Linked DNA regions of Drosophila melanogaster. The protein of the gene in region 1 interacts with the protein of each later gene in a pairwise test. Each region holds a gene or a part of one and is shown on either strand. Other genes may lie near its edges. The genes, in order: Hr96, CG13032 and CG13965.

Region 1 (11,229 bases):
TGGGGTTCCAGCTACCGCAGCTCCTCTTGATGAAGACAAGATCCAAACTACTGCGGCTCCTCTTGATGAGGAGAAGATTCCATCCACAGCAGCTCCTCTTGATGATGAAAAGATTCCTGCTCCAGTTAGCCCCGTTGTTTTCGATGTGGAGCCAAGCAGCGAGAAGCCTGCTGTATCTGAGTATGATGGTGAAGAGAGCACCGAACCACCTGTCCATGATGTGGAGACCAGCACTGATGAGCCTACTTCTGATGCCAAACTGAAGCCACCTACTTCTGCACCTGCTACGCCATCGGAATCTCCAGCCACGGAGGCGGAGATTGTGCCAGAAACTGCAGCCCCAGAGCTTGAAAAGGAGGTGCCAGAGAAGGCCACCGAACAACCTGAGCTTGAGAAGGAAACTCCAGAGAAGGCCACCGAACAACCTGAGCTTGAGAAGGAGACTCCAGAGAAGGCCACCGAACAACCTGAGCTTGAGAAGGAGACTCCAGAGAAGGCCACCGAGCAACCAGAGCTGGAGAAGGAGGTGACGGACAAGGCTACAGAGCAGCCAGAATCGGTCGATGAGAAGACCACTCCGGAGCCAGTCGTGAAGCCAAGCTTGGATTCCACGGAGGAGGATGAAGAGTCCGTTGAGTCCGAGGAGGAATCCGCTGACAAGAAGGACAAGAACAAGGAGACTGAGGAGGATACTGACAAAAAGCATGAGGAGCCTGAGGTACCAGCTGTAGTTTCGGAGATTCCTCAGCCAAGTGAAGAGGCCGTACCGACCACTGGTCACCCACTGTTCCCGCACCTTGCCAGCAGCACCACGACGCCACCAGCCGTCGACGACCGCGTTGGCGAGGAGGATGAGGAGAACACAACTGTCAAATTGAGTAGCTCCACCACCACCAGCACCACAGAGTCTCCAGTGACCAGCGCACCATCGACGACCACGGTGGCCAGCCAACAGCAACAGCCGATTACCCCGCCTCCCTACGGCCACGCCCCCGAGTACGAGGATGAGTACGACGAGGAGGAGGTCTTTGGACCCGGAACATGCCGTTACGCCGGCAAGCTGTACGTGTCCGCCCAGCAGATTCCACGTGACGATCCCTGCGACTTCTGCTTCTGCTTCCGAAGCGACATCATCTGCCTGCAGCAATCGTGCCCGCCGCCAATTGCCGGCTGCCACGAGGAGCCCATCTCCGGCTTCTGCTGTCCGCGCTACGAGTGCCCCGTGTCCATGGCCGCCGTGCTGAACATCACCACGAGCACCACCACCACCAGCACCACCCTGCCGCCCCACTTCCTGCACTATTCGCACGGCGAGGCGGTGAAGCACACCGGCTGCCTGATCAACGGCCGTTCATACCGCGTGGGCGAGCAAATCGAGTCCACGAGCGGTCCCTGCATTAGCTGCACGTAAGTACAATACATCGATGCCACCTAACGCTGGGTATTTGGTATATTCCTATGACTGATCTGCATCTTGTTTCAATTTCAGTTGCGGTGGAGACGGCAAGATGAAGTGTGATCCCCAGCAGTGCGTTCCCGAACCCACCATGCAGCAGGTGATGGCCGCCGTGGTGTCGGGACGCAAGAGATGAACCACCAGCCATGCTCACTAAATATAATTTAACTAATTCTTAAGCACTGCAGACAACAATCACGAACCGACGAACCAACCAGCCCAGATAGCACCACTCGCCAACTAGCAGCAATAGCAATAGCAATAGAAATCATAGAGCCAGGAAACCGGAAACAGAAACAGAACCAGAACTCTTGAAACCGGAAATCCGAAACAGAAAGTCCGGAAAAGCCAATAGCAATAGCAATAGTGTAACCGGACCAGATGCAATAGTGTTAATTTTGGGTTTGCCGACATACGCACTCTATCAATTGGATTACGCCCACTTGTTTCGGATTAGGTTACGGTGACGAAGCAACCAGTGATATTGTACTGTATACATAGTATAGGTGCAATTAATTTAGACGCGCTCACTTAAATCGATTACTTATTTGTATTTGTATGTGTACTAGTATTTTGGGCTTGTGACCCTAGTGACAGGACATATAGCCACCACAGCAGCCGACGTAGCGCGTGCCTTGTAAGGTCGTTCATTGTGCCCGCCGCCATACAATCGCTTTCAAGAGACTCTCAGCACCCCACACCACACTACACCACAGATAGGTAGAGCGAAGATATTTCGGACACGGATCGCAATCAATGGCGTTACGAAGCCACGGCATTCGGCCACCGGATGGGATTCTATACTTGCCCCCTCCGGCGGTTCACTCTTCTCCAATGCGCTTTTATAGTATTTTAGTCACCTTATTTTAAACATTATTATTTTTGTGTATAATTGTTGCTTCTAGTCTTCTTTTGTTGCAAGAGCAACGGAATCCGCCTGTAACACGCGCACAACCCGATCGATCGTATCATATTACATCAGATCAGATTATAATAGATCGTATCAGATCGGATCGGACCAGTTGAATCAAATTGAGTTGAGTTGAGTTGAAAAACTGTATCTTCTATGAACTATTCCAAGCTTTTATACTTTTATATACAAGATACGTGTAGAGTGGAGAAACGAACGAACTAGTTTTTATAGCAATTTTACAAAACGAACGCACGAATTGCATAGTTTTAACGGATTGAATTTGTACTTCGCCCTAGTGCACCTGCACTGGCACCCGTGTCAGGTGCACATGAGGTGGCCAAACCGTAGTCTACATAGAATTTTTAGATCAACTGAAACTGAAACGGAAACGGAAACCGATTACGGAACCGGAAACACACTGTCGGCCATCGCTACTGCTCGACTGATTGAAAATCGCACCGATCGCAGAGAGGAGCTATCTTTGTAAACTATTTTTTTTAACTACCAGCTGCCGCGCTGGTCATTACTTTATTGGTCATAGAATAGAACGAAACGAATGGATCTTCAGTCACTTGAGCCTTAGCAATGCGCCGAAATCTTCAAGCGCTTGAATCGCGCTGAATGAATACGAACATCAATTAGTTTTATATAATCTCTAACTATAGTTGTAGCCCTAAGTATTTAATTTTAAAAATAAATAAATAAATTTTAATTTAGATCTTATTTATTTGATATGTCTTTTAAGAACAGCTCTTGTGTTTCCATACCTTATCATAATTTATATGCAGCTATTCTTTGTAATCTAATAAATAAATACAACGCTTTTTATTGAAATGTATATCTGGAGAGTGTTTTGTAATTAAAGTGGTCATTTTGGATATCCTTTATACACTGCATACACAAATGTGAAATGTTCTTAGAAAGAGACAGGGTTTTCAATGGCTTTCTTCACAGAACCAATGGTTTGATAAAATAAAGGTTAGGCTCTATATTAAAGTAATAGATTGCTCGTTAGTTAAGTTGAAATTTTAAAAAATCGTTATAGCTCACCTTTTAAAGCGGGAATTTCGATGTTTTCCAATCGAGCAATCGAATATATTTCTACGTTATGGTATTTTTAAACGGTTCATCAGCGGGCACACTTCCAACCGGCAGCTAAAAAGTTTATAATATTTTCCGCCTATGGCCCGACTTCGTTCAAACCACTGGACTTCTGTATAAAAGCGGCTCCAAATGGTGAATATATCCACCATAAACTGGGTCTTCGTCTGCGGCCTGTCCTTTTGCCTGGGCGGGATTGCGGTGCTCAGTCTCATGCCATTGGGATCAGGTGCGTCTGCGAAACATGAACGCTTGCTATAAATACTGATCCGGAACCGCTCTTTTAATAGACTGCGTGTGCCCGCTGTCCAATCCGCTGGCCAAGCTTGCCGGTGGCGGAGAAGGTGTATCCGTGATTAAGAAAGAGCCAGCCGATGAGAAGCAGCCACAGCCACATGACCACGGTGCGTCCGTACACAAGATGGCACTGCTGGTGCCGTTTCGAGACCGATTTGAGGAACTCCTCCAGTTCGTCCCCCACATGACCGCCTTTTTGAAGCGGCAGGGCGTGGCGCACCACATCTTTGTGCTGAACCAGGTGGACAGGTTCCGCTTCAATCGCGCCTCTCTCATCAACGTGGGTTTCCAGTTTGCCAGCGATGTGTACGATTACATTGCCATGCACGACGTAGACTTGCTGCCCTTGAATGACAATCTGCTCTATGAGTATCCCAGCAGCTTGGGACCACTGCACATCGCCGGACCGAAGCTACATCCCAAATACCACTATGATAACTTCGTTGGAGGAATATTACTGGTGCGACGCGAGCACTTTAAGCAGATGAACGGCATGTCGAACCAGTACTGGGGCTGGGGATTAGAGGACGACGAGTTCTTCGTGCGCATCCGGGATGCAGGACTGCAGGTGACGCGGCCGCAGAACATTAAGACTGGCACTAATGATACATTCAGGTGAGACCAGTGCTCCGGATTTCGCAACTAGACGTGACTACTAATAATTATTGTCATTCAACCTCAGCCATATTCACAACCGCTATCATCGTAAGCGGGACACCCAGAAGTGCTTCAACCAGAAGGAGATGACCCGCAAGCGGGACCACAAGACGGGCCTGGACAACGTGAAGTACAAAATACTTAAGGTGCATGAGATGCTCATTGACCAGGTGCCGGTGACCATCCTCAACATTTTGCTCGATTGTGATGTTAATAAAACGCCTTGGTGCGACTGCTCCGGAACGGCAGCGGCTGCATCGGCGGTACAAACCTGATGGGTTGTGTTAAACCAAAGATCCTATGTTTATTTCGCTATTATAGTGTGTTGTATTGTATAAATGCGCTAATACACGTGCACCATGCCATAGAGGAATGTCCAGAAGAGCACGTAGGTGCAAAGGCCGCCCATGAACTGATTGGTCAGCAGATTTCTGCGGTTAATGAAAAACTTGCGCCACTGGGTGCCCGATTTCACGAGCACCAGAATCCAGAGCACGAACACGGACAGGAAGTAGAAAAGGAATCCCAGCGTACCACTCAGGCCCAAAATACCTGCGAATTGGTGGGACATTAACTAAGTTGGTTCACCATCAATTGGAGCCAATTACCCGCAGCGCAGCCCGAGATGGCAGCCATCGATGTGCGACAGTATTCCACGGCGGATATGTTGTTCCGGATGGCGCCCTCGCTGTAGGCGATTATTTCGCCAGTCTTGGACTGCGTGGTCTTCACTCGATTCATTTTATTTAATTAAATTCTACTTTAATTTCTAGCAAAAATATTCCTAGGCTGTGAACTTCGATTGTGTGCCGATTGTGTTATCGATTGGTGCCGATAACTATGCACTGTAAAAATTCACTAGCGGTTTTTGCAGGATAAATAGTTTTTGTAAATTTTCCGAGATAAACTTGACGAGCTGTTTAATGTTAAATAATGAAGTTTAATACAATATCAAATATATTTGCTGAAGTGTATATTTATTCTCACCGCTCTGTGCTTCGATGGCTCACAATTGCGTTTGCCATTCGCCCGGGCACGTAGATTGTTGTTATTGGGATTGGCCTGGAGCACTCGGACGGACAGTAATTCATTAAAATATGTGGTGATAACGCGAGCTGCCGAATCTGCGTGCAATTCGTGCGTTTGACGTGGGTACTAACTGCTATGCTGTCGCGCGGACAGTTGTTCTGATACGCAGAGTTCCTGCCTCACCACACACGACCACCTCCATTAAAACCAGCCACCCCCCCCAGCGCCTCCTCCACCGACAGCAGCTGCTCCACCGCACCACCAGGAGAGGGGCAATTAAAAAATCAATCAGAGGGCCCTAATTGAAAGCTGCCACCGTCGAAATGTCGCCGCCGAAGAACTGCGCGGTGTGCGGGGACAAGGCTCTGGGCTACAACTTCAATGCGGTCACCTGCGAGAGCTGCAAGGCGTTCTTCCGACGGAACGCGCTGGCCAAGAAGCAGTTCACCTGCCCCTTCAACCAAAACTGCGACATCACTGTGGTCACTCGACGCTTCTGCCAGAAATGCCGCCTGCGCAAGTGCCTGGATATCGGGATGAAGAGTGAAAACATTATGTCCGAGGAGGACAAGCTGATCAAGCGGCGCAAGATCGAGACCAACCGGGCCAAGCGACGCCTCATGGAGAACGGCACGGATGCGTGCGACGCCGATGGCGGCGAGGAAAGGGATCACAAAGCGCCGGCGGATAGCAGCAGCAGCAACCTTGACCACTACTCGGGGTCACAGGACTCGCAGAGCTGCGGCTCGGCGGACAGCGGGGCCAATGGGTGCTCCGGCAGACAGGCCAGTTCGCCGGGCACACAGGTCAATCCGCTTCAGATGACGGCCGAGAAGATAGTCGACCAGATCGTATCCGACCCGGATCGAGCCTCGCAGGCCATCAACCGGTTGATGCGCACGCAGAAAGAGGCTATATCGGTGATGGAGAAGGTAATCAGCTCACAAAAGGACGCCTTAAGGCTGGTGTCGCATTTGATCGACTATCCAGGTGGGTGCAGACAAGATTTCATCGTTTAGCCTTATCCGCTCACCTATGAACGACTTGAATCTTTACAGGCGACGCACTCAAGATCATTTCAAAGTTTATGAACTCGCCCTTTAACGCGCTGACAGGTTAGAGTTTTAAAATTTGTGGTTTTAAACTTAATTTCACATTCCTTGTTAATTTAAATACGCAGTATTCACCAAATTCATGAGCTCACCCACGGACGGCGTTGAAATTATCTCAAAGATAGTTGATTCGCCCGCGGACGTGGTGGAGTTCATGCAGAACTTGATGCACTCGCCAGAGGACGCCATCGATATAATGAACAAGTTCATGAATACCCCAGCGGAGGCGCTGCGCATTCTTAACCGAATCCTAAGCGGCGGAGGAGCGAACGCAGCCCAGCAGACAGCAGACCGCAAGCCATTGCTGGACAAGGAGCCGGCGGTGAAGCCTGCAGCGCCAGCGGAGCGAGCTGATACTGTCATTCAAAGCATGCTGGGCAACAGTCCGCCAATTTCGCCACATGATGCTGCCGTGGATCTGCAGTACCACTCGCCCGGTGTCGGGGAGCAGCCCAGTACATCGAGTAGCCACCCCTTGCCTTACATAGCCAACTCGCCGGACTTCGATCTGAAGACCTTCATGCAGACCAACTACAACGACGAGCCCAGTCTGGACAGTGATTTTAGCATTAACTCAATCGAATCGGTGCTATCCGAGGTGATCCGCATTGAGTACCAGGCCTTCAATAGCATACAACAAGCGGCATCGCGCGTAAAGGAGGAGATGTCCTACGGCACTCAGTCTACGTACGGTGGATGCAATTCGGCTGCAAACAATAGCCAGCCGCACCTGCAGCAACCCATCTGCGCCCCATCCACCCAGCAGTTGGATCGCGAGCTAAACGAGGCGGAGCAAATGAAGCTGCGGGAGCTGCGACTGGCCAGCGAGGCTCTTTATGATCCCGTGGACGAGGACCTCAGCGCCCTGATGATGGGCGATGATCGCATTAAGGTAACCAACAGTCCACGGTATTAGCCTATAGGTCTTTCTACATTTATAGCTCCAACACCACGGCTTATCTAATCAGAGTGTGCGAGCTGCGATATATGTACACACGGCACCTGGCACTTTTTAGCCATTCGGTGATTCAGTGCGTCTCTCGATGTTGGCCCACGGGCCGTATCTTCGTCAGCCAGTTTCTGGGTTCCCAGCAATGCTCGCCTACCAAATGTAAACACACTTTTTAATGGGGTGGCTCAAAGTTTTTGATTTCCCAAGAGCTTTGGTCGAGTAAAAGAAAATTGATCGAACCAGATAAGCTATTTTCCCCCAGAGGGTTAAAGAATTTGAAGTCATGCGACTGGGTCTAGTTAAGATATTTGATTACGAAAATTGGCCTTTAATTAAGACCCTAAACGTGACAAACTTCCATTCTATATACTTCTTGATGAGTATTTAAACAAATATGGCTATTTTCGGAACAAATCGGGCACTCATTTATATCTTTAGCTTTATCTTTATTTTTTAAGATGTGTCCACACCTTTGATCGACCTCTAGTTCCCCTGGAGAAATGATTTGGAATTATCCAATAATGATTCATCACTTCCACGAATTGTTGTCCCATTAATCGAGCCACCCTAGCTTTCATGCAATCAGAACGTCTGGTCTGCCAAGAAGGAGCAGACAGCGGCTTTATCAGCCTCTGGGCGTGCCAATTGTGACACTATCAACCATTATCAAGAGTACCAGCAGGCGCTCATGAGTCTCCAGCCAGCCGTCGATTTGGGCGTTTATTGTCGCTTAGACTGTTTACCGATTTTGCCTCATCGCAATTAGCACATTTCAGTATTGTTAATTGGGAAAAACGATACAATTTTGACGAAATATATGGAGCAGCCAGGTGTTGGGCGCTATGATAAGCAGTGCTCCGCCATTCGATTGAGTCACCTTCCAGGGAGAAGCCTTTACGATTATGGCGATAATAATGGCCACCTGTTCGTTCTTTTCCATTTTGTTTGTTTTGTGAACCACAGCCCGACGACACTCGCCACAACCCAAAGCTATTGCAGCTGATCAATCTGACGGCGGTGGCCATCAAGCGGCTTATCAAAATGGCCAAGAAGATTACAGCATTCCGTGACATGTGCCAGGAGGACCAGGTGGCCCTACTCAAAGGTGGCTGCACAGAAATGATGATAATGCGCTCCGTAATGATTTACGACGACGATCGCGCCGCCTGGAAGGTACGTAGCCTTAATTAAATAACTAAATATTCTATTAGACTGATATGATATGATACAATGTGCTCCTACAGGTACCCCATACCAAAGAGAACATGGGCAACATACGCACTGACCTGCTCAAGTTTGCCGAAGGCAATATCTACGAGGAGCACCAAAAGTTCATCACAACGTTTGACGAGAAGTGGCGCATGGACGAGAACATAATCCTGATCATGTGTGCCATTGTCCTTTTTACCTCGGCTCGATCGCGAGTGATACACAAAGACGTGATTAGATTGGAACAGGTGAGTAAGCACTTGATACCATACTGCAGTATTACTAACTTTCTTTCATTCGATAGAATTCCTACTATTATCTTCTGCGAAGATATCTGGAGAGTGTTTATTCTGGCTGTGAGGCGAGAAACGCGTTTATCAAGCTAATCCAAAAGATTTCAGATGTGGAGCGTCTGAACAAGTTCATAATTAATGTCTATTTGAATGTTAACCCATCCCAGGTGGAGCCCTTGCTGCGTGAAATATTCGATTTGAAAAATCACTAGACAACCGATGCGTGTCGGGCATTTAATGCCTATGTTGATGCCCAATGATGAATGGTCAACAAGCTGTAGTTGTTGTTGTTGTTGATGTCTGTTTTATCTTGTCGCTTGTAATGTTAGATTTTAATCGAATGTGATTGTTAGATTTGCATATACTGCATAGATTTTATATTTCTACATCAAAGAGAGCATATTTAGGATACCAAGTGCAAAGCAACACAATCTATATGTAATGTACACCGTTTACCTAGTTTCAAATAAACTAGACGATAATGCAATAACTAACTTGGAAGCGTGGGTTCTGTGCAAAAAGGAAAAAAGACAAAAAAAATAAACTGACTTTGAGAACCAGTGGTAATAAAATGTCTCGTATTCTTTTCTACTCGAATGAATTTCGAACCCTCCAGGACAAATTACGCAAACGAGTGATTTTGAACAACAATCCAAAATAATTTAATTCCGAAAGTCACAAAATAAAAATTCGAAGTAGGAAAAAACAAATAAGATGTTTGGAAACCAACGAGAGATGTGCTTCGTTAAAGCATCAACCCGGGGAAACACCACAGCAACCGCGCATGTGTACCCGCGACCAGTCCTCAGAAATCCACGTCGTGTACGTATCCGCAGCCAGCGTATGTGTCCGCATCTGCCGACCCCGTCTTACATAGTCATTTATGTATAATGTAGGTAATATAATAGCTCGAGCTCGCTCCGCACCACCAATGTGCGTCGTGCAAGTCCATTCCAATTGTTATCCGGTCCACTCGCCGCGCAAATCGGCTTTCAGGTTGATTCGCGGCAATCCTTGGCCCATTGCAGAAACTCATCCAACGCGCTGACGGCCAAATTGCGAGAAAGAGCCTTCACACGCAGATTACGATCGGTTGTAATGAGCACCAATTCCGTTTGAATGAAACACTTGCCATCTGCAAAAGAGTTTTAGTTAGAAATGCTATCAGGAAGGACATTTAACGGAAGCAGCTCACCTGTGCATTGTTCGGTTTTTGCCGTTTTCGAGACAGCCATTGCCGTTGCCAGAATCTTGTCGTCATTGGACAAATATTCCTCCTCAACTAGGGCAAACACCGATGCATTGACAAACGAGCCCTTTGTGGTAGCACATCTAGAAAAGAAATCAATAAGGTATTATTGATCAGCAGGAAAAGCTTTCCTGAACAACTATTACTACTGATTTAAAAGTAAAATTTCAATACATTATCAGGAAACTTTTATCTATCTCAATAGCAACCAATGAATTAGACAGAATTATAAATAGCTAATCGCTAGTAAACCCTTTATCAGATATCAGTAATAAAGGAACTATGAGCTGACGCGCGGAATATAATTAACAATAGCTTACTTCACATTGCCTTTGGCCGACTTGATGAACTCTAACGACTTTTTGGCCCGCGACGACACCTCGTCAAAGTGGTGGATGCGCTGCGTCTGCTTCGAACTGCGGTACGAGTCCAACTTAACGCCCTTGGAGAGGCCATCCAGTTCCTTAACCACTGTCAGTGGTATAATAAGTGTGTAGCGTTTAAACTCCGTGGACAGTTTTTCAAAGTCTTCAAGGCAGTCGATAAAGCAGTTGGTATCCGGTAGAAGATAGCGCGGTCGCACCTCGATGTATATTTTCGTGTCCACGAACTTGAGAATGTCCTCCAACTTGCTGGTGCATATCTGCTTAACCCTAGCCTTGGCCTCAAGCTCTTTCTTCAGCTTGCACAGCTCGGAAACATCGGAATCAGTTGAACGACACAACAATTCCTCAACGGCTTTACATTGAATCTTTGAAACGTTCGCCGCAAGACCACAACTTTCAGCATCATAGTTTTCCAATGCGTTCTTCATCGCTGCGTTTAGGTGCTCGACAGTGAAGCTTGATTCCAACGGCTGCTGGAGAGCCTCTTGATGCTGGACGTAGTATTCCTGGAACTGACCAATCCTACGAACACGTTCGAAAAACTGAAGACGTTCGGATCCTCTTTTGAGATAGTC
Region 2 (11,229 bases), on another chromosome or scaffold:
AGTGCGCGCTCAGCTCGATGTTACACACTCATCTTGTCCTTGTCCCCGGCTAGTAGATATGTAGCCTAAACAGAACTAATGTCCAGAACTTTTATGTCCTCACAGGCAACAGCGTTTACCCCAAGCGGATTGGTTCGGTTTCCGATATTGATCCGGCCAATGGCATCTACGGATCGCTCACCGCCGCCGAGCAGGCTCACCAGCAGCAGAAGCACCAGCAGTACTACCAGCAGGTACAGATGATGCAGCAGCAGGAGCACCCGCCGCAGCAACAGCAGATGCGCCAGCAGCCATCCTACTCCTCCCTGCAGGAAAAACAATCGCGCCAGAGCACAGCAATGGTAAGTTTTGTTGGCTGTCTATTGTTTATTACAAAGTTATTTTTAACTATATGTCCCATATTTTAGCGCGTCTATCGGGCCATCTATGACTATGAGGCGCAGGACGTCGACGAGGTCAGCTTCCGCGAGGGCGACGTCATCTTTGAGGTGGAGTCAATCGATTCCGGCTGGATGACCGGACGTGTGGAGCGTACCGGCAAGACCGGCATGCTGCCCGCCAACTACGTGGAGCAGGCGGTTATATAATAGGGAATGTTCTACTACTGCTGCTGCCGCCAGCAGTTTGTGGTGATCCTCGTCTGCCTGCTCTACATCCTGCTCGTGCTCGCCTTCTTCGTCAACGTTTTTATCGCGGATCGCAACATGCACGCGAATCTAATGATGAGGAACGGTCGGCACGGCGGAGGTGGAGGAATCCCTCCGCCAGCAGGCATGCATCCGGGTCACCACAATCCGTACGACATGCATGGCTACAACCACTACAGCAACTACCATCCGCAAGTGGATTCCAAGCAGCAGCAGGAGTTGGCCAAAAAGACGCCGCAGCAGCAAGCCGAGCAGGACATTTACTACTATTTTAATCATGTATTCAGGCGGCGACGGCGATGATGTGGAGGAGTCACACGCCCCAACCAACAGCCCAAAATTTAAATTTTTAGTGCATTAACTTATACTGCATCCACTACATACATAGATATATATATATATATATATATACTATATATAGCAAAGCAGCGGATTATGTAAAAAGAGAAGAGGGAAATTAATTAATTAATTTTAAATTTATTAGTAATCCAACCAAGAACCAACAATCCGATATCCATCTTATTAAATAAACAAAGCCACAGCAGAGTTATGAGAAATCAGCCAGAGAGTCGAATGTGTTTCAGCTATGAATCGGCTAATATATGTCAGCGGAACATATATCTGCACCGATTCCAATAAGAAATTGAGCGACCAAGCTAACCCAGCCAAGTTTGCATTTATCTACAGCCCTTAATAAATCAAATTTATACAGATATTTATTGAAGAATATACAAAACGTTAACCAACTAATCGTACACTATAGCTTACCAATCATATACAAGTACGGATATCTATAAACAATTCGATTAGCTAAAGTGCTTCAGCATAACATGTTGTGGATAGCAAAATCCCAAGGCAAAGGTTTTCTAATTTAATTAGAAGTTCTCAAAGTAATACTTACACGGGGCAATAGCGCTAACACAAATTTCCCCCGAGTTTTCTTCGGCTTTCTGAAAGCTTTTCGCATTAGCAGCAATCCACTCGGATTCTGATCGCGTCCTTATCCCTACAATTTTGTCAATTTATCTGTGTAAACGAGGAGGACTTGAAGGATATTGTTCTTGTTTTTGCGGGGGAAATTCATGTTTTTAATATATAAATATTTTTGTTAAGAGAATAATAATTATATATTGTTTGTTTCTAGTGTTAAATTGAAGAAAGAGAATAAGGTGGAGATATCGTTTCGTTTCACAAAAGAAATCCTTGAAAGTGCCTTTAATTTGCTAAAACGTGTTTTTTAGATAAAACCAATTTACTAGGCTTATCAATAATAATGCATTAAAGAATCAATAAAAAAAAATATACTTATACTGTAACTTATACATTTTCATACCATACGCGAGCAATGGAGAACGAATTTCTAACGCAAATAATGAAGCAATTTACAAACGGCAACTAAAACTAATTTAATATGTGATTGCAGGATCGTTTTTCTATGGCAAGTCAAGCTATATATAATGTATTATTAACTTAACTTACAAGACACTCACACACACACACACACACACACATGCATAGCTATAGACAGCAATTAATAACAATTATATAGGCATAATGCAATTGGAAATGCTTCGAGTGGAAAGAAATCACCTAACAAATACTTGAATTAATCTAATCTTATCCTGAAATAGAAGCAGCGCCAAAGGCTTCGTTTTGTGAACGTGTTACAAATCAAATAAAAATTTATGAAAATTTAAAACTCATTGTTTTCGGTACTTCAGAATCAATGATGTGCATTGCAATGCCATGCAAGTTTAATAACATTCCAGTTACATATAAATATGTATATGGCATGACTTCTCGTCCAGTTTTTTTAGCATTGCAAAGAACATAAAAACTAATCAAAATAAAAATCGTGGTTTTGTTCATCTTCATTATTGAATGGAAGTCTCGCTCGTGCTTTTATCTGCATTTTTGCTACGATCGCTCAATCCCTTTTCGCGAGCTCCAAGTACAGTTTCAAGGATAATGGTCTTCGTACTGTTGATGGTGTCCTCGAAAAATTTGGCATCTGCGTTCTTCTCCTCGGTGATATACTCCAGCTTCTCTGTCAGCATTGTGATTTTTTCCTTGGCCAGTTCAAGACTGAAAATATAAGTAGTTATAGTTGATTAAGCGATGGGATTGCCGTGTCCGAACTTACTTATTCTTTAGATCCTCTATTCTGGGCTCAGGCTGTCCTGCCGAATTCAGCGTATTTGTGGACTGGTACTGGGACTGATTTTCGAAGCAGAAGGAACCAATCGATCCGTTAAGAGAAGTGCGACTCAGCGAACTGGCGTAGTCGGCCATTCGCTGGGTGCGTTTCTTCTTATCGGACTGCACATCGAGTTCCTTCTCCAGGTCCCTGATCTTGACCTCCAGTCGGCTGATACGGGCCTTTAACTTGCCAATCTGCTCCTGAGCTGCTTCGTTCTTGGCTCTCTCCGTCTCCAGACGATCTCCTAGAGTTTTGGTGAGCAACATAAGCTGATTTTTCTCCACCTCTAGAGCATCCAGGATGCCCACAAATTCCTCCTGCGGAATATAATTAAGCAAATTAATAGCTTATGTTTTAGTGTACAGAGTTTTACCTTTCGAAACTCGCGGCAGGAGAAGAGGAATCCGCCGGATAGGGCGCGCAGGTCCATTTCCAGCTTCTTGATCATATCCTGCAGACTGGCCATGGCCACATCCTTCTGCTTGACCACCGTCTGCAGCTCCAGATGCATACCGCTCAGCTCTTCCATTTGCCGGCGCGAAAGATCTCGCTCCTCGGTCACCCGGACCAGCTCGCCGCGCATGTCGTCCAAACGGTTCTCGTACTGAATCCTCTGCTGGTTCAGTTTGTCATTCATGGTATTGATATTGGTGCCATTGAAGTCGGTCTGCTCCTCCAGCTCATTGTATAGAATCTTGTACTTGTTCATCTCCTCGTTCAGATTCTTGTTCCTCACCTTTAGGGCGAGTGTCTTGCTGCGTTGATCCTCCAGTTGGTTTTGCAGGCTAAGAATCTCCTTTTCCAGAGCCTCCACCTTGGCTCGATGAAGAATCTCACTTTTACGCACACCCGGTGTAAAGCGATCGAAGCTGGCCGTTGTGGCTCCGCCGCCATCGCCTCCACCTAATCTCTCAGAGCTGGCATGATGTGATCGACAGCTGCCGGTTACCAACTCCAGATCCGAACCCAACGGCACTGGGGCAGCATATTCGGCTCGATCTACGGCTCGGTCCTCGTAGAAATCCAAGCGAGCCTTGAGCTCGTGCACTTTCTGGTTGAGCGCGATGATCTGCTGAGCACGACCGCGCCAATTGGCCTGATTAAGATTGTTGGCCAGGATGTTGATGTTGCAGCTCTCACCGATCTCGTGCTGCAGGCACTTTTGGGCCAGTTTCAGTTGGCTTTGTAGCTCGGTGTTCCTGTTTCGCGTTTCGAAGAGCTTCTGCTGCATACTGTTGATCTTGGCTTGGAGCTCATCGGGGGAGCAGCCCTTTTTTGGCAGATCCTGATTATGCTGCAGCTTCTCCTCGTGCGCACGCAGCTCCTTCTCCAGCTTCTCGATCTGAGCATCCTTTTTACCCAGCCGACTCTTTGCCTGCTCCAATTCGGAACGCATCTGGCGGTTCTTCTTGCTCAGTTCCAGGATTTTGGTGCTGGCAATGGAGGAGTTGCAGCGCAGCTCATCAATGGGCACGGAGTTGAGCACCTCGTTGAGCGAATCAACCGATTTCTTCAGGTCGGATATCTCCTGATTCTTCTCATGAATGGCCTGGGCCAGTGACTGCTTCTCCTGCTCGCATTCGGATAGCTTTTTGCGCAGCTTTTTGGACTCCGGCTTTGTTGGCTTTGGTTTTACCACAGCGGTGGTCAGCACCACATGGGCAGCGGCCATGGCATCATGGTCATGCCGACGTCGAGAGGAACGGCCCACTTTGCACCCCAACAGCTCCTGATCCCGATGGGCTACATACTCTTCCGGCAAAGTCTCCATCGCAATGCCCTCTAGTTGTTCACATAAAAATATACACAATTGAATCTAACAATTTCGTTGGCTGGGCGAAAATAATTTGTACGTGTGCCTGTTCTTGTTACTAAAATATTCACAAATTTTGGTTGTCATCAGTTGTTTCTAGGTTATTCAAATTTAAACCTCATTTGAAACAGACAAATCAAAGGCAAGGCAATTTTTAAATTTGGAACTCTTGTCATAATCAGGATTTCTTCAATAATAGGTAAGTTAAAAATAAACAGAGTTTCTGCAATAATAAAATTGACATTGACAATTCTTTTCTTGATCTTTCCAAACTGTTGTTTTATTTAAGACAGGATAATTTACATTTAAACCGTTATTCTTTTTTTACATTTACATTATTTTATTTTAAATACCCCAGCAAAGTACGGCCAACGTCAAGCAAGCCAGCCCCCCATGTGTTTCAAATTATAATTTAAAATATAATAATAAAACAACGATAACGGCTTAGCTAAAATTCAAAAATTTTAACAGTTTTTCTAGATAGTTTTAACTGTATCTAGCTATTTATTTTGTGACTCGAGTTGGCAGTACTGTTTAGTTGGTATAATTTAGCGGTCGCAATATGGTCATACTAAAGTGACGTGTAAGACACGAAAACAAGTGAAGATGGACGGATTTATGATGGTAAATTGCAAAATACACAAGTAACTGGCTTAAAATCAAACCCAACATGTGCTGCAGGATATCATCAAGGGCATGTGCATCATGGACAACGATGGCAACCGCATCCTGGCCAAGTACTACGACAAGAACATCCTGTCCACGTTGAAGGAGCAGAAGGCCTTCGAAAAGAATCTGTTCAATAAGACGCACCGCTCCAACACGGAGATCATTATGCTGGACGGACTCACCTGCGTGTACAAGAGCAACGTGGACCTCTTCTTCTACGTGATGGGCAACGCCTACGAGAACGAGCTCATCCTGCTGTCCGTGCTCAACTGCCTCTACGATTCCATTAGCCTGATCCTCAAGAAGAACGTTGAGAAGCGCCTGGTGCTGGAAAACCTGGAGATCATCATGCTGGCATTTGACGAGATCTGCGACGGAGGGTGTGTATTAGCGTATACAGTGATGGATGGAAAGAACAAGGGACCAAGTTAAAGCAGCTTTCATTAGCAGCAGTTCGTTTAGAAAACATCAAATTATTACTACACAAGTTCCCATAAATAACATTGTTATTTACTAGTCTATGAGTTAGGCCAGCTCAAGTGAAGCCTCTAAGTAGTTAACCGCATTTAAAGCTTCCTTTTTTTTAACAAAACCTAGTCAAGTCCAATGAAAAGTTATATGATAACTGCGATGTTAGGGTATAGGTACAAAAGTTTAATTATATAAATCAAACTAAATATTAAAATATATTAAACTTAAAGATTAAACTAATACATACGAGCACTGGCATCCTAGGCATGCAGCTCGTATAAGTTTTTAAGTTTATAGGCTGAGCTTTAGAAATCACCTGAGGTACAAAAAGATATACTTTGCCATTCATCACTGTATATTATGCATTACATATTATTAAATACAAATATTCTATTTAAACCTTTACCCGTTTTCCAAATAGCATTATTCTGGATGCGGATCCCTCGTCGGTGGTGAAACGCGTTGATCTGCGCAACGATGACATTCCCATTGCCGAACAGACCGTTGCCCAGGTAACTAACACCCTTAATGGTCTATTTTGGTAGTCTAACTACTTGGTAGCTCTTCTAAGTGTTTATAACTCAATGGTAGCCGTTTGTACTTTAATTTTGTCTGGTTTCGTTTCGCAATTTGATACCCTGCAGTCAAATATATTCTCATTTAGTTTTACCCGCCCTATGAACAAATAATTAGGCTCTTTGTTTTTCAAGACTATATGTAGTTAGTAACTGAGTTAATATAAGTTTACAAGCTTTACACATTTGCCTAGATTTATTTGTTATTCGCATTTTTGTTTAATTACGATCTATTTTCAGTTTCAACAAAAGTGTTTAAATGTTGTAAAATTGTACCTATTTTAATGAATGCTTCCAGATAATATTACTTATTACAATTTAAAGTAGTTGTGTCGGCGTAAATTTCTTTTTACCTTTTGTACATGTTACCGAATTTCGATTACTTTTCCCCATATCGCCCCATTCATTGTACTCCGAGAATGTTCAAAATAAAATTGGTGAAAATGTTCTGGAACTTCGCGCTCATTTTGATTTGTTTCATTAGCTAATTGATCGAAATTATTGCCGAGTATCTGTATCTATATATGTGTGTGCTATCTATCTTTTAGGTTCTGCAATCGGCACGTGAACAACTCAAATGGTCCATTCTGAAGTGATGTGAAATGGGGTGGCGGAAGAGAGGAAGCCACTTCCGTGCCGCGTTGTCGCAATACATTCGATTCTTCTTTTAGCGCCCACTTGTTTTCGCCTAGTTGTAAAGCATATAATAATACATACATTTAACTGGAGAGCACTGCATGTTTTAATTTAGCATTAAACTACTAACTCGGTGTGTCATAGAGTAGCCAAAGGCACCGACGGGCGATTGGAGCTGCCAAGTTCCGTTTGCGCCACTATAAATCTTTTGTGCGTGGTATGCAATCGAGTTCTTAGATAAGGGAAATCACCTGAATAAACAAGGACTGTATTTAGGCAAATCTAATAAAAGCTTTGAAGACTTTCCAGACTAATACTGAATGTATTAAAGAGTATTCCCAGGTTCGTTGCTATCGAGCTGCTATGGCTTATCGCAGAACTTTATGGTGTTACTGAAGTCCACAATAATTCTTATTTTGCTTAATCGATGAAGTAGCGCAAGTAGCCATATAATGCCAGAACTGACCCATTCAACGCAACGCAGATCGGTCAGTATTACAATAAGATAATGCAGGCAGGCATTATGTTGCAACTGACAGCGCAATCACCAATCATATGCAGATGGGGTAAATCGAAACCACTTGTCTCCAGATACGAGGATAAAGTATGTCGTAAACCCACGTGACCAGCTGGTGTCCAAGCAACTTGGCCTGAAGTGGCACCTAAAACTGGGAGTGCTAGGGTATTAAAGTCTCTTTACGAGGCAGTGCTAATTATTAAGCGATTAAGCACCGATAATCTCAACATCTTTATAGTAGGGGGGCGCATAAAAAAGTTCTATTTGAAGAAGCAGTTCCAAACGGCTTTCAACAGCTTTGTTTTCTGGCAAACTCAATGTAAGGGCATTGGCACTTAAACTCATATTTGTTTGATTTATGGCCATTACAACCAAATGGATTACCTCTTCGCCATCGCATGGGGCTATTAAAAGCTTTAGTTATGAAATGAAGTTCTGCGTTGCAGGAAAAGAGGGCAATTAACGAAGACTTGTTCAATTGGGGGACTTACATATCATCTCTCTAAATTGCCTTATTCCGTAACTCCGTTTAATATCTAACCAAACAATAAAAAACAAACAGCTAGCAATTGTGATTCACTTGTTTTCCCACCTCTCGATCGCATGGCCAACATGCTATCATTCAACTTCAACCTGCTGCTCGTCCATCATCCAACGTACACCACCCATGAACCGCAGACGTGCTCCGCTCCCACTGATATATCCATCCACCCACATCCACATCCACCCCCGTTTACCCATCGTTCCTTAATCAAATGCTTGTCAACATTGCAGCCAAAACAATAACAATTGCAAAATTAAGCGCCTCGCGTTTATCTGCCTTCTGTGTTGTCGAATTAGACAAATAACACCCAAGTGGGGGGAGTCAGTTGGGGAGGTAAGTAAAGTACACAGCTATATGTACATATCTATCAGCCGTAGGAGCTGTGGTATCGGTACCGCACTTGATGGATGGATTGCCCGGGATCACGTTCAGGAATTCTGGCAAAGGCGCAACGTCCCCGGAATTAGCTGCTTACGTGGTTGGGTGATGACAGGGGCTGCTCGAATCACAGATAGGATCTCATGGGTTCTTCTACTCAGCTAATATAACACCTATATTTCTTTTTGAAATACGTTCGGAATGATATATAGATTAGGTGTCGTGAATAAAAGATGGAAAAAGTTGAATCGTTTTTTTCTGGAAATACTTTAACTTCTAACATATTTAGGTATTAGATCATTTAAAGCAAAGTACATCCCCATGCCACCTTAAAGTACAGTTACCCCATTAATTTATACCCAATATCGGGTTCTCAAGTATACTCCTGCACTATCAGGGGGAAGATTGAGATTACTTGGGCACAGAAAGAGGTTCCACATGATTAGCGCCACCGTTCCAAAAAATGGGTTCCAATCGGATTAAGATTTACGATCCCGATCGCCAGCCCCATCAGATTTATATAATGCCAACGCGCTGGTATTTTCGGGAGAGGACTATTTGGCATTCAGTCAGTCATACGATTTGTGCGCCTGACTTCGGATTCTTGTCTACTGAAACGGAAACCCACAACATCTGGAGAGGTTGAATCGAATCGAATCGAATCACGACTGATACTGGGAAATGATTGGCGACTTGTTTTTCGGGTGTGTACATATATATTTTGAACGATTGCCATTAATTCGCTGAATTTCAATCTCGCCTGTGGTAAACAAAATAGTTTAAATTCCATTCCGCAAAATTCATTAGTAGTAACTCTTCACGTGCCAACTAATTGAAACTGAACGAATTACGGCGAAGTGAAGGCGACTGCTTTGGTTTTCCTTACTTTTTATCATGCCCGCATTACCCAGTAAGTGAAGCTAATATCGAATGAGGGGGCCCGTTCCATAAAATCGACTTTATGGCCTTCAATGGGTAGGAAAATTTTCGCTTTTCGCACAAATTTCGCGGTTATTGCAGGGCCATGCCCAAATGTCTCTATCTCGAAGCGTGACTCTTTCTCAGCTCCCAGACGACTTGCAAACAGACAATTAAGACACCATATATGTATAGTGTGGGATGGTATGGAATCAGAGCACATCGACTGTCCGATAAGTGGATGGCTCGAGCAGCCGGCGACCTTGGCAGTGGAGTGGGGTTTAGCAAAGTGCTGCCCAGCAACTCAAGAAGCACCCCCCCAAGGAATCCCACAGGTCAGATCCACCTCGGTCCTCCATATCGGTCAATGGGTTCAACGCATCGAGAACCCAGATCGCAGTGAACCTCCGTGAACCATGAGTGCCCGATCGAAGCCCGATGGCGAACCGTTAATTTACGATCCCTGACAGTGGGTCAAATCCTCTCGGGCTGGCTGGCCAGTTATCTTCCATTATCGCGATAAGGCCTGAGTTCTGATCGGACCAGTTGAATTGAGCTGGACTGGTATGGGTTGTTGTGCTACCCGTTTGAATTGTGTTACTGGGGGCCCTGTATTTTAATTACATGTTCTTTCGAGTGCCCTGTTTTCGAGTGCAGATAGTTGCAAAACAATTCTTCTTCCAGTATGCAAACAAACGGTCTACCCCCGTAATCCTCCCCTGCGATCAAGTGTAATTTCTGTTGGTGCTGAAGAGGGACAAGTGGCATTCCAAAACTGTAAGGCTTGTGCTCAATTTGGAGTAGAAATATTTCTAATATAGAGGGTTGTCGATATGGGTTTTTCAAAGTATTGACGTTTTTCATAGTTGGTTATTACCCGAAATCTATATAAACGGGAAAAAGATTAGTTGCTTATATCTTACATTCCCAGAAATCTAGTTAGCATAAACAAATTGGTAAATTTGATATTTATCAGAGCACTTTAGCGTAGATCATGATTACTAATTCTTGAAACACAACTCAAACTATTTCTCGCTGTGCTTGTAGTGTTGTAAATGAATTCTGGCAAATTCAGATACTCTTACGATTAAATCGATGATTTGACAATTTGGTGCGCTTAAGAGCTGAGTGAAACCGTTAACTATAACTCTCCGGTTAAATAACTCTCTTCCACACCGGACATTGTTCTATATGCTGTGAGCTACCCTCGGCCTGATATCTTATCACTGATATTGTACATTCTTACTTTGAACACCCGTACAAGCAATTAACAAACGATTCGTGGCTATGATTCTCCCGTTCGTCCCCAAAGCCAACACCACCACCCATCCGCCCACTCGATGGAGCTCTCTCTCTCTCTCTTGCCCGCTCTTTCTTTCGCTCTTTCTCTTTTTGGGGGACCTTATCTGGGAATTGAATGGAAACGAACTGATATTTAAGAATTCAACCCATTCGCTGGTACTTTCAGTGCTGTGTGATCATAAAACGGTGTTAGACGTATTCCGGCAGGAAAAAAAAAACAACAGGGAACCCTGAATCACAGGCAAGAGCTGAAAGTTCAGTGATACAGACAAATGGATATTATTATAGCAGTGACAAGAACTCAAGTGCTCGATAAACACATTCCCGGCCAAAGAAAACAGAAACTCAGTGGAATCCAAAGTATTTAATAACAAATTGTGTGTGTGTGTGTGCCAGTGAACAGAGCTAGCAGCAAGTGTATAAACAAGACGTCAGAAGTTTCCACTTAACCAAGGCATAATCGATCGGCCACAATTGGTACAACATTCAGAACCATGAAATTAAGGTGGGTTTTGGTTTTGTAGTTCCTACGAAATTGGGTCTTGGTATAAATGATTAA
Region 3 (10,542 bases), on another chromosome or scaffold:
CTAGCTAGCTTAAATAGAAAACCACGAACGAACATTAATGGCCATTAATTTGCTCACTCTACGAAATTCGTATAAACAGTACTTGAGATATTTTCTACTTGCGCTTAATAAAACAAACAAAACCTAAGCCAGTCGAGATTGTTTGGGTGGGGAGACCGTTTGGCATCCGTCCGACATGATCAGTCTAAATCGAGCAGCGATCAGAGGAGCATGGCGAGATCAGGGCGCAGTTCGAGGTTTCTTATCGGCGGCAGCACTTGCTGTTCGATGCTTCTGGGTCTTATCTGTCTGGTGAGTCGGTGAGTCGGCAGTGGATTAGATAAGGAACTTATTGATTTTCCTCTCGATTGCCAGGCTCTGGCGGACTCATCCCAAGTGAAAGAACGCAGCCCTACCATCTTGGTGAGAAATACAATTCAAGCGGTGGAGAGGCTCTTCAATCAGGTGCTCTACACGACCATCGAAGATGCCCGCCAACGACTACCGGGTCTTCCGGCCAACGAAACCATCGATCGGCAGTACTTCGAGGAGCTCGACCTGGTTGCTGGGAACGAGGACTATTACAGCACTGCATTCTATATCTTCGCCTGGATAAACAGCGACCTCATGTACCATAAGACTCCCGATAAGTTGCTCGTCGAGGTTCTTCCCGGCGAGAAGATCGCCATCCGCAGATTCTTCGCCAAGGTCAAGCCGCATCTTACCAAGTATCTGCGACTCAGTCGACAGGACAGGTCGGAATTGGTTTCCAACGTCACCCAGTTGGCCACCGAAACCAAGGACAGTCTGATCACAACCTTCTTGGAGTTTCCCCAGAACCTGAAGAGCCAACTTCCTGAGCTCCAGCTAATGGACTACACCAAATTGGCTCAGGCTTTGGTGCAGGGGGTGGCCAGTGGTATATGGACGAAGGCTTAAGATTAATAGCTAAATATTTAAACAATATCATAGAATTAGAAAGTGTTTGTAATAAAATGAGAAATGTACTTCAAAGAACAATATTCGGAATCTATTTATACGAGGACTTTATTCCTGAAAAATGCCGTTTAACTTCCGGAAAATTTCCGACTGTCTGATCAACATGTGTAGATATCGAGAACTGATACTTTAAAGCAATAAAGATATTATCGTGACTTGGAACTATATACGACTTTGTAATAACAAAATGCATGGTTTCCACTACCCACTAATTAATATACGAAGGGGCAGCACTCGTTCTTATCACGCTCACCGATTTCTGAAGTCTGATTACAGTCTATACGTTGTCTCACGATCAGTGGGTATTCATTACAGAGGAGGCGTTCTCCCATTTTGTATAAAAATTGTGAATTTAAGAGAGGGAATATAAAAGGAATCAGTTCGATAGAGACTAGATACAGTTTCAAATCATGGCCAGCAGACTAACTTGGACTTTTCTAGTCGCTGTAGCTGCCCTCCAGCTTTCGGTAAGATCCTTAGATTTGCTTATATCCTTTTGGAATCAACAGAAACCTTTAACTTTCAGCTTGCAGCGCCTCTCATTAACAAATGGCAGTTACAATTCGAAGTGTCCAATGAACTCTTTCAAATGGTAACAGACGCCATGGAACAGCTACGACATGTCTTTCAATTGGTCATCGACGAGGCCGAACTCATTTTACCACCAAACTCCAAGGGACACATTCTCAGGGAGCTTAAGGACTTCGTCGCGGCCTTGGACACCCTGGACTTCGATGATTCATTCGAGCTGAACAGACTGGAGGATGCTCTTGAGGAACTGGAAAGCATCATTTCGATTGCAGGCAGCAAAGAATTCGAATCGGAAGCTGACGAGGTTGTCGTTCAGCTATTCATACAGCACGGAGTTGAGGACCTGGAGCAGATCCTGGAAAGAAACTTGGAAACTACTCTGAAAATCGTAGAGCAGAAGGTGGAGAAATACATGAGCACATGGTCCGACAGTCGGTTGGCCAGGAACGCGGCGATGGTCAAGCAGTTTAATGACTTTAAGAACGAAAAGGATGTCTATGAGAAGCTGGACAAGTTAACCAACTCTGATTTCATTTGAATAAACATATCATGTTTCAAGTACATTTAAGTTTAAACCAAATAACTACAGATACATAGTCCGAACGTATATATTATTTCCAGAAACTGCCTTGCAAATATCAAAACCAGTAGTCCAGAGTTCATGTTTTGTATTAGCACGCTCGCCGGAAGCTAAAATTTGATTACATATTGCAGCTGATTTAACAATCAATGAGCATATAATAAATACGCTAGTAAGTGTTTACTACTTAGTGCAGGTATGACGTAAGAAATGTGGAATTCATTTTACAAAGGTATTGAATACCTTAATATACCTTTTTTAGATTTGTAAGCTGTCAGGTTTCAATAGCTTTGAAAGTTTTACTGACTTTCTATTCAATACAATTGTTATTTAGTCTGATAAATAAACCGTGCGGAAAGTAAAATAACTGATTATTTGTAATGCCAAGAATCTTTACATTACACACAGACAAGTCAGTATAATCTCTAGCAGCCTTAACTAGTTGTTTTTGAGAACTCGGAACTTTCATTCATCAGCTTCTCTTAGGAAAGGTGTTAAAAGTTGCGATAAGATGATCCAAATCCATCCCGCGAGTCGAACACATCCCGCTCGATTTGGGGAGGTCCTCTTCCATCCGATGTGTAGCTATAGGATTCGCTCCGGTAAAAGTTGTTAGAAGAGCCCCCGGAACCAAGGGGACCACTTCTACCAGTCGGAATACTGGAACCACCGGCGATAAGGGGGATAATGGAACCACTGGATGGCATAGGTACCTGGAGAAGGTGTATTAGTTTTTTAGTTAGGAAAACGATTGCACAAGATTACCGGTCGAGATACAAAGGTTCCTAAGTTTTGATTGCGGAATGGGGAGTCAGGAATTGGTCGAATGCCTCTGCCACGGAAATCCGGGGAACTGGGAAAAGGTCTGTTGTCGAAGCCGCTGCCTCTGGGACCCACATTGTAATCGGTTTGGAATGCATTGTCATAGTTGGGTTGCTGAAATAGTTCAATCGTCAATCGGATTGTAATACTATGTGTAACTACTTATAAAAACACTTACACGAATGGGGAAACCGTTGGATCGGGGAGGGATCTGAGGATAAAACGGTCGAGGTTGGAAGGGGATAGGTCGGAGTGGAACGTCCTCCTCTTCGTAGGTGTCGGTCACCTCCTCCACTTCACCGCTAGATCTCTTCAAGGATAATAAATATATATTTATTTCCATTTATATTAAGTGTATTGGATGAGACTCACCTCTAGAAACTCGACATCGTTATTTGCTTCGGCCAGGGCAGAGCTGTTTCCGCCATTTAAGGATGATCTATTAGAAATAGGTTTGTTGCTCGATTTCGGACTCACTGGCTTGAAGAGATGCGTGGGAATGTTGATAGTTTCACGAGGCACCCTTAGCTGTGGATTATGGAATATTGCAAAGAAGATACTATCTAAATTGTTTGCTAGCAAACTTACCTTGGGATCCGGCAGAGTGTGGCATATCTGAAAATATAGAACTCATTGAAGCCTAAATTGTGGAACAAACCGATGAATAGTTACCCCCTGAGCGATGAACAGACAGCCCAGCAAAACGAATTGGAGCGGCAACATCTCGCAGATCTCGACTGACACTCACGTCTCGAACTTCCGACGATCGACAGAACTATGAGTTGACTGGGTGGAATGCGCTGCAATTAAATGCAACCACGATCCCAACCCGTTCGACTGGAAATCACCAAGGTGAGAGCGTCGGGGCCCGGGGTTATCAGCCTGGGGATTACACGATAGGGAAATCAGAAGCCCATAACTCAATCTCATATGCGCAAATCATCAATTATCATTTTCCCGAATCTAGGAGCCTTTAACTTACTTACTAGTTCTTAATGCACCGAAAGAAAACTCCAAGCAGTCCCACATTCAGTGAAGAACCTTGTACTCAGATTTACACGATCGAAAGCATTAAATATTATATGCAAATATTAAAAACTCATGAAAATATAATCTAAAAGTTGTTTATTGTGTTAGGAAGTACATTTCAAGATTGAAATAAAACTAAGATATTATTGACTATCTGGACTCGGAGATTTTTCACAGTATTTATCGGAGAGTGTTAGTAGAGTCCGTAGCCGTAGGGCGAACCATATCCGCCTCCTGGACGCGGAAAGCTGGGCACAGAGATCACTGGTCTTCGGGGAATCAAATAGACCTGCGGGTAGCTAAATCCTGGTGGCTTCAGAGCCACATCCTCGTCCTTATCCTTTTCACCAGACTTGTCCTTGGGCTTATCTTCGCCGGAGTCTTCTTCGTGATCGTGATTGTGGTTGTGGGGGTATCCGAAACCGGGACTGGGAGGTCCGTATCCTGGGAAGCTGGGCCAGTTACGAGGCTGAGGGAACACCTGGGGTTGGTAGGGCGAGTACGGTGATCTGAAGGTCGGATAGGAGGGATATCCAGACAGCTCCGGCGATTCCTTGTCCGCATCTTTGGCAGTGGGCGGTGTGGTCGATGGAGGAGTAAGCTTAGGTCCCGCGGCAGAGAATATCACTCCTGGATGGGGGTAGGGATACTGAATGGGGTAGGGATAGGGGTGAGGATGCGGATAAGAATGGGGATGAAAGTGGGGCTCATGCTTATGGGGCTTTGGCGTTGTGGTGGTGGTCGTCGTAGGGGTCGTGGTTTCCGGTTCCGGAGTGGTGGACTCTGGAAGCGCAGATCCATCATTGTTTTGTTGCAAGCCATCATCCAGTTGACCCAGTCCGTCATCGGGAGCAGCGGTGGCCTCACCCTCCTGCTCTATTGCGGGCTTCGTGGTGGTTTCTGGCTTTGGAGTTGTGGTTTCCGGCTCGGGAGTGGTGGTGGTCACCTTCTTGTGGGGATGATGAGGCTGATATTGGGGGGGCAGGTGGGGCTCCGGCAGATGCGTATCATCGGTAGTCTCCTCTTCGCTGTAAAGCGAGGCATCGATTTGCTTTTTAGCCTCGTCGAGCGACAACTGAGCGTAACTCAGCGCCAGCAGCTAGAATTAAAATGTATGTTAAGTTAATCATAGTTCGAGCCATTTTGTCCTGGCCAAGATCTGGCACCAACCTGGCTAATTAGAAGCAACTTGATGAACATCCCAACCGACTGAGTTCAACTAGCAAGGGCCAAGCGAAAACTGATTGTTCTCTGCCGGCCATAGCTGACTTATATAGCTCCAGAATCGCCCACCATTATGGAAATCGGTAAGCCAACAATTACAGACAGCCCCAGAGCAATCAGCTCTCTATCTCTCTCGAAAAACCCGATTGGCATCAGGTGTTGGATGCGTCTGCCGGAATTTCCCGGACTGCGTTCGCAAATTAAAGATCGCCATCTATCAGTTGGTCACTAAGAGAATTAGTTCTGCCCGCAGAACCAGGCAGCGATTCCCGCAATCAATTTAGAACTGCTCCAATCGATTCCACCTGCGCAGCGACTATAAAAGGTGGCTTTGCCCAGTCGGCGCTTCTGGTTTCGACGCAGTATAGGTACACATACTATGTGTCAGGTGTGACGATAGGCATGGCGAAACTTGAACTGAAGCTGGTGAGTGCCAATGGGGCATTCCCTCATTATTGCACATAATCGAACGTTTCTTTGTTCTAGATTGGAATCGCTATATTCTTGGTAGCCGCGCTCGAGGCTCAGGAAACCCCTGCGGCTGAATCATCTCCAGCGTCCCCAACAGATGGCGAAACGTCTCCAGTTACAGAAGCCAGTTCCATCGGAGAATTAACTCAGACCACAGAAGCGGGGTCGGAGGTCACAGAATCACCAACAAATAGCACCGATATGGTTAATAGCACGGACAACCCAGACCCGAACGGCTCGCCTGACCCTGAAAATGGAGGAGATCCATTTGTGAAGCCAGGAAGCCATATAAAGGGACCTCGACACGTTAGAGCACATGATGGCTTCCACAGCCTGAAGACGGAGAAGCATTGGGCAAGCTGGAACGATGCCTTTACCACGCCACGTCCCTAGCTCATATGTATATCCCATTATACCCTTTCGTTTTGTGACCAATCTCTGAAGATTATTGAATAAAAAACTAAATAATTTTAATATATTCCGTCGAAATTCGGGAACACCCTATGTGGTTTTACCAAGAACTTCACAGATGACGAATTGAATTAGTCGCCAGTCTATTGTTTCCCAATGCGGTTGATTTTTTTCTGCTTGGTAAGTAGAGATAAAGAAATAGTAACATTTTTATCGTATATATTATATTTTCACATCAGTGCCTCTTTTTGTCCCTGGAGCTAGTAGTGCCCAGACATGTCGTGGGCCACGATGGATACCACAACATCGAGAAGGAAAAGCGCTGGAAAAACTGGCCAGCACGTGTGAGGCACCACCATAAACAACGTAACTCCATCTGATGTCCGACAAGGTTGGGATTGCACGCGATTACTTATGGCCCGTTGCAAAGTCGTTCACAGGGCCATAATGCCTCGGATCTCGCCAGACAATGGGAAGCGGAAGCCTTGTTCATCATATCAATGGATCACTGCTTAATTGAACATTTCCACTGTTCGAATGTGTAAATAATAAATTGAATCGCATTAATTGTTGCTATCCAAGCGATATACATTTCAAATGAGGAGAAATGGATTTTATAAATATAAATTGACCCTTTCTTTAGAATGAGTAACCCCCTTTTAAAAATATGTTGTTTTTTTTTCTATTTTGAGATAAGTGACTAATGGGAAATCGATTGGTTCCATAATACATCTCAGCCCACTTAATTGTGATTTAACGTATAAGTAATTTGTCACTCCACAAACTACAGCCATGGGACCAAGGCTCTATCCCGCTGCGATCCTCATCCTCCATTGCCTGCTGTTGCTCTTCCTCCAGGTGGACAGCAGAGGTAACCAGAACCACACCCAGATGGAAAGACAGCGTCATCTCCGAGCACACAATCTGCACAGGCCTCCATACGATGGATACGATTGGCACAAACAGTAAGATACAGATTCGATCGAGCTGAAGGATATATACACTTTCGAATGGCACCAACCTTTCGCTTTCAATAGCTTTAACCGAGATGCCGAACCAAAGGCGACAGTTGCAAAGGAGAAAGAAGAGAAGACTTTCAAACACAGATCAGGACATTTAAAAAAGATGAAGCAGACAGCTAGGGATATTTCGAACTGGAGGTAGGTGCATCATCTGCATCAAGTATGAATGCTCTGAGATCAAGGAATGCCTGACTTCTTTTCAGCAGAGCTCGGAGCGCCTACCAAAAAGAGACGGCAGAGCTGGAGGAATGGGGTCGAAAGAAGAATATAACTGACAACGAACTGAAGTTATTCTTTGACGGTGAAATTTCTACCAAAGACAAGTACAGATTATTTGGGGACATTCAAACGGTTGTCCAGATCCTGAAAGAGGTGATAAAAAAGGGAGCTGTGTAAGTAGTGTTCGCCTATATGTCTGGCAATGCCTTTGAAATCCGCCTTTTTAGGACCGAAAAAGAGAAAGCAATGATAACGCCGGAACTGAAACCATTGATCTTAAGATTCGGCCGCATGTTTGAAAGGGAATTTGCCAAGAACACAAATGCCTTGGAAGCCTTGCAGATCCTTGTTCATGAGGTTCAAAAATCGAACAGCCGGAACATGAGACATAAGAGTGCTAAAAGGTCTCACTAAGTGGTAATTAAATTGGCTATGCCTGTGGCGATTTTAGTAACGAAAAGTTTGTAATCTACACACTAAAAGGTCTGTTAATAAATCGAATAACAATCATTGCTCTTAAAACGGATCATTGAGGCTGGTTTCCTAGCAGAAACTGATGACTGACCCAAGATCGATTGATTTAGGCAGCAGCCATAACTTTAATTTCGACTATCTTGCTTTTACTTAATACACATAGACGTCGGCTAACTTAATCACACACAATCGCGGAATTATTTAACGACAGCGCACTTAGTTCTTCCACTTCTTGTTCTCGTAGTCCCACTTGGAGGTCAATCCGGTGACGGGGTTGATTTCCAGGTCGATGATGCGCTGCAGCTGCGCCTTCTGGTGCTCCTCATCGAAGGTAACGGGCAGCTCATCGTACACTGAAAGGAAAATGCTCAATAATGGATAGCCGCAAAAGGGAACCGGAAAAATGGCTTACCGAAGATGTTCATCAGTACGGCCACCCAGATGGCGGCGGCGCAGAAGAGGAGTGAAACGCCCAGGTGGAGCTTCCACTCCCCGGATCCAGCCTGGACCTCGGCGATAGTCTGGCAGAAGCTGGCGCGGTACAGGGCCTTGATCTCCTGGGTGCTGAGCTTCTTCCAGTCTCCCTGCTCCTTGGCGCGCAGAGCGTTGATCTCGTTGGTGGGCTCACGGAAGCGCACGGCGGGCAGAGGGTAGTCCACGCGATCCGCGTAGCAGGCGGTGCCGTTCCAGCCGTAGCCAACGATCTCCCGCTTGCCGATCTTGTCCAGTGTGTGGACGGCGGCCACGCTGCCCACCTGGGCACTCTTGGGCAGCTGAGAGGCCAGCTGGCGGAGCACAGCACTGTTGAGTAGTCGCAGGGCCATTTTCTCACAGAGTCTGCAAGGTAGTAAAATGAATATCAATTTATGAGGTATCAGCAGAGGAACATAGGGTCTTGGACCCGCGATAGCCAAATTTCCCACCCGACCAGGCGGTCATCCGTGAATTCTAACGGGTTACGAATTCACCGATATATGGTGCCCACTTAGTTGGAGGTTATGTAACAGCTAGCAGAACTACGTGCCAAGTTATAGAATCTATTTCCATAAAAATCGCATTGTTTTGAGGTTCCTCTACGCCTGTCGCCATATATTTATCCCGATTTCGTGCTGTGTTTGGCATAATATCCGCATAATTCTCCCATTTTTCACAGCCATCACAGATGTTGTGTAATCGGTGGGCGGTTGCATCTACCGGAAAACGGCTTATAAACCGGTGGCAACTGGTTTTCCAATTTATGTCGGCTTGCTTATCCCGCTCGTTGTATTCAATAGCTTTGTGGTCGCAGGTACTTGATATTTTTCGCAATTAATACAATTTTTAAAGCACTTTTACCTACTTTTCTTAGACTTGCTGAACAATGTGACCAGAGGGAATATACAAAACAAAATATATATATGGATGGGTAATTATTGCTCGATATTTTGGTATTTTCATGCAGAGAAGTGTGACCACATCTCGAATGAAAAAATATAAATATTAATATATCGATATATTCAATCGCTAGCAATCGGAATTCGGCGGGGTATTTAAATCTAAATATATTAAAATAAAGAAACAGCAAATAAGGGCAACTATTATGTTTTATTTTATTTCGCAGCATGGTGAAATATTTGGTTTGGTATTTCACATTCTTTTTGTAGTCTGTCCGCGAGAAGAGAAACAACAACAAAACAATTATTGTTCGATATTATATTTTATTTTGATTTGATGTCATATCTCATAAATGCACACATTTAAATTAGACAGAGACACATAATTTGCTTTATCGTATCATATAGTTTGCTGCTTGAGTTTGTATTACATAAGATTATCTTTCGATAGGGATCTGGAGTTCGGAAATTTAGCTATTTTATCGAGGATGGGGCATTACGTATTCACTTTCGCGTATTCCTGTGTTTAAGCGCCGCTTGGCATAATAAATATGTTAATGGTATTTTGCTTTATTGGGCTTTATAAATATGCAATATGTTTGTAACAATATTTAATGATAATTACGCAAATAATTAAACTAAAGTGAAAGCTTTTTCCTTCAACTATACATCTTGTAAATTGGTAGTAGCAAAAACTTATAGCTACATTTACAGTAGAGTTAGGTATTAGTTGCGATTTAATTCATATGATCCGCCGACTCTGGGCTGGGATAAAGGGTATAAAAAGTCTAGACCGTCGGTCAGATTCACACTTAAGCATAGGGGGGACTTGGGGTTAGTTTTCATCTATATGTACAAAAATGAATTCACTCGTCTTATCTCTGTAACATTTCATGTTAGTGAAGTTTCCTTTTCTCAAGATTTGGGTTTTTCGGAAACGCAGCCGGGGTCCTTGCTTTTTGGGATGGTAGTGCTTCGTTATCAGGTTCAGTTTGTGGCTAGGACAATTTGCATTTTTAACAAGTGCGCTAAAAAGTGCAATTTACTCTAGATGGCAGGGAGTGGCTAGAAACGATGATTGGAAAGGTTGGTGACGTGGTGCAAATGGAAAACTCTTGGAACTGCTTTTGAACCTCGCTGCGAAAGTAGTGCAAGAAGTCTCATTTGTGCGGGGGCAAGGATATCTTGGGTGCATATCTTGGACCCTCAGCTGGCGTACTCCTCTCAGTTAGTTCATCTAAATTTGGCATGTACGAAGTGGTTGGTTTCTATAGCTGTTCACTCGGCTCCAGCGGAACTTTCGGGCGTAACATTCGAGTCCAGGCTGGCACAATCGGACTCCTGATCCTGGGCCTCCGAGTAGTTGGCCGCCTCCTGCAGGCGCATCAGCATGTTGAGCTGTTGACGA

The links.
Region 2: the proteins of Hr96 (region 1) and CG13032 interact in a two-hybrid assay, tested with the Drosophila melanogaster proteins (one large-scale study listed by BioGRID).
Region 3: the proteins of Hr96 (region 1) and CG13965 interact in a two-hybrid assay, tested with the Drosophila melanogaster proteins (one large-scale study listed by BioGRID).

Annotation. Positions count from the first base shown.
Region 1 is NT_033777.3:25,019,768-25,030,996, forward strand, and holds Hr96 (hormone receptor-like in 96), read left to right. Parts: upstream 1-5,467; 5' UTR 5,468-5,776; coding exon 5,777-6,443; intron 6,444-6,511; coding exon 6,512-6,568; intron 6,569-6,633; coding exon 6,634-7,457; intron 7,458-8,480; coding exon 8,481-8,690; intron 8,691-8,761; coding exon 8,762-8,974; intron 8,975-9,030; coding exon 9,031-9,231; 3' UTR 9,232-9,584; downstream 9,585-11,229. Other genes in the region: tnc (tenectin), read left to right, coding at 1-1,407, 1,490-1,592; beta4GalT7 (beta-4-galactosyltransferase 7), read left to right, coding at 3,603-3,699, 3,761-4,382, 4,450-4,699; EMC6 (ER membrane protein complex subunit 6), read right to left, coding at 4,768-4,976, 5,033-5,165; Smg6, read right to left, coding at 10,012-10,154, 10,215-10,351, 10,589-11,229. UniProt on the Drosophila melanogaster protein: Binds selectively to the HSP27 20E response element.
Region 2 is NT_037436.4:16,667,537-16,678,765, reverse strand, and holds CG13032 (uncharacterized protein), read right to left. Parts: upstream 4,803-11,229; 5' UTR 4,619-4,802; coding exon 3,221-4,618; intron 3,165-3,220; coding exon 2,791-3,164; intron 2,733-2,790; coding exon 2,522-2,732; 3' UTR 2,502-2,521; downstream 1-2,501. Other genes in the region: lasp, read left to right, coding at 106-341, 408-587; CG43954 (uncharacterized protein), read left to right, coding at 594-950; zetaCOP (coat protein (coatomer) zeta), read left to right, coding at 5,267-5,284, 5,342-5,709, 6,222-6,312, 6,924-6,971; Galphaf (G protein alpha subunit f), read left to right, coding at 11,165-11,175.
Region 3 is NT_033779.5:19,957,323-19,967,864, reverse strand, and holds CG13965 (uncharacterized protein), read left to right. Parts: upstream 1-5,512; 5' UTR 5,513-5,566; coding exon 5,567-5,590; intron 5,591-5,650; coding exon 5,651-6,028; 3' UTR 6,029-6,107; downstream 6,108-10,542. Other genes in the region: Hf (helical factor), read left to right, coding at 211-291, 355-918; OS9 (Olfactory-specific 9), read left to right, coding at 1,389-1,445, 1,505-2,047; CG10680 (uncharacterized protein), read right to left, coding at 2,584-2,802, 2,855-3,025, 3,090-3,221, 3,284-3,439, 3,500-3,526, 3,584-3,634; CG16772 (uncharacterized protein), read right to left, coding at 4,134-5,039, 5,111-5,140; CG42866 (uncharacterized protein), read left to right, coding at 6,203-6,226, 6,286-6,426; CG34051 (uncharacterized protein), read left to right, coding at 6,839-7,011, 7,084-7,206, 7,272-7,460, 7,515-7,701; COX4 (cytochrome c oxidase subunit 4), read right to left, coding at 7,978-8,114, 8,174-8,585; sick (sickie), read right to left, coding at 10,413-10,532.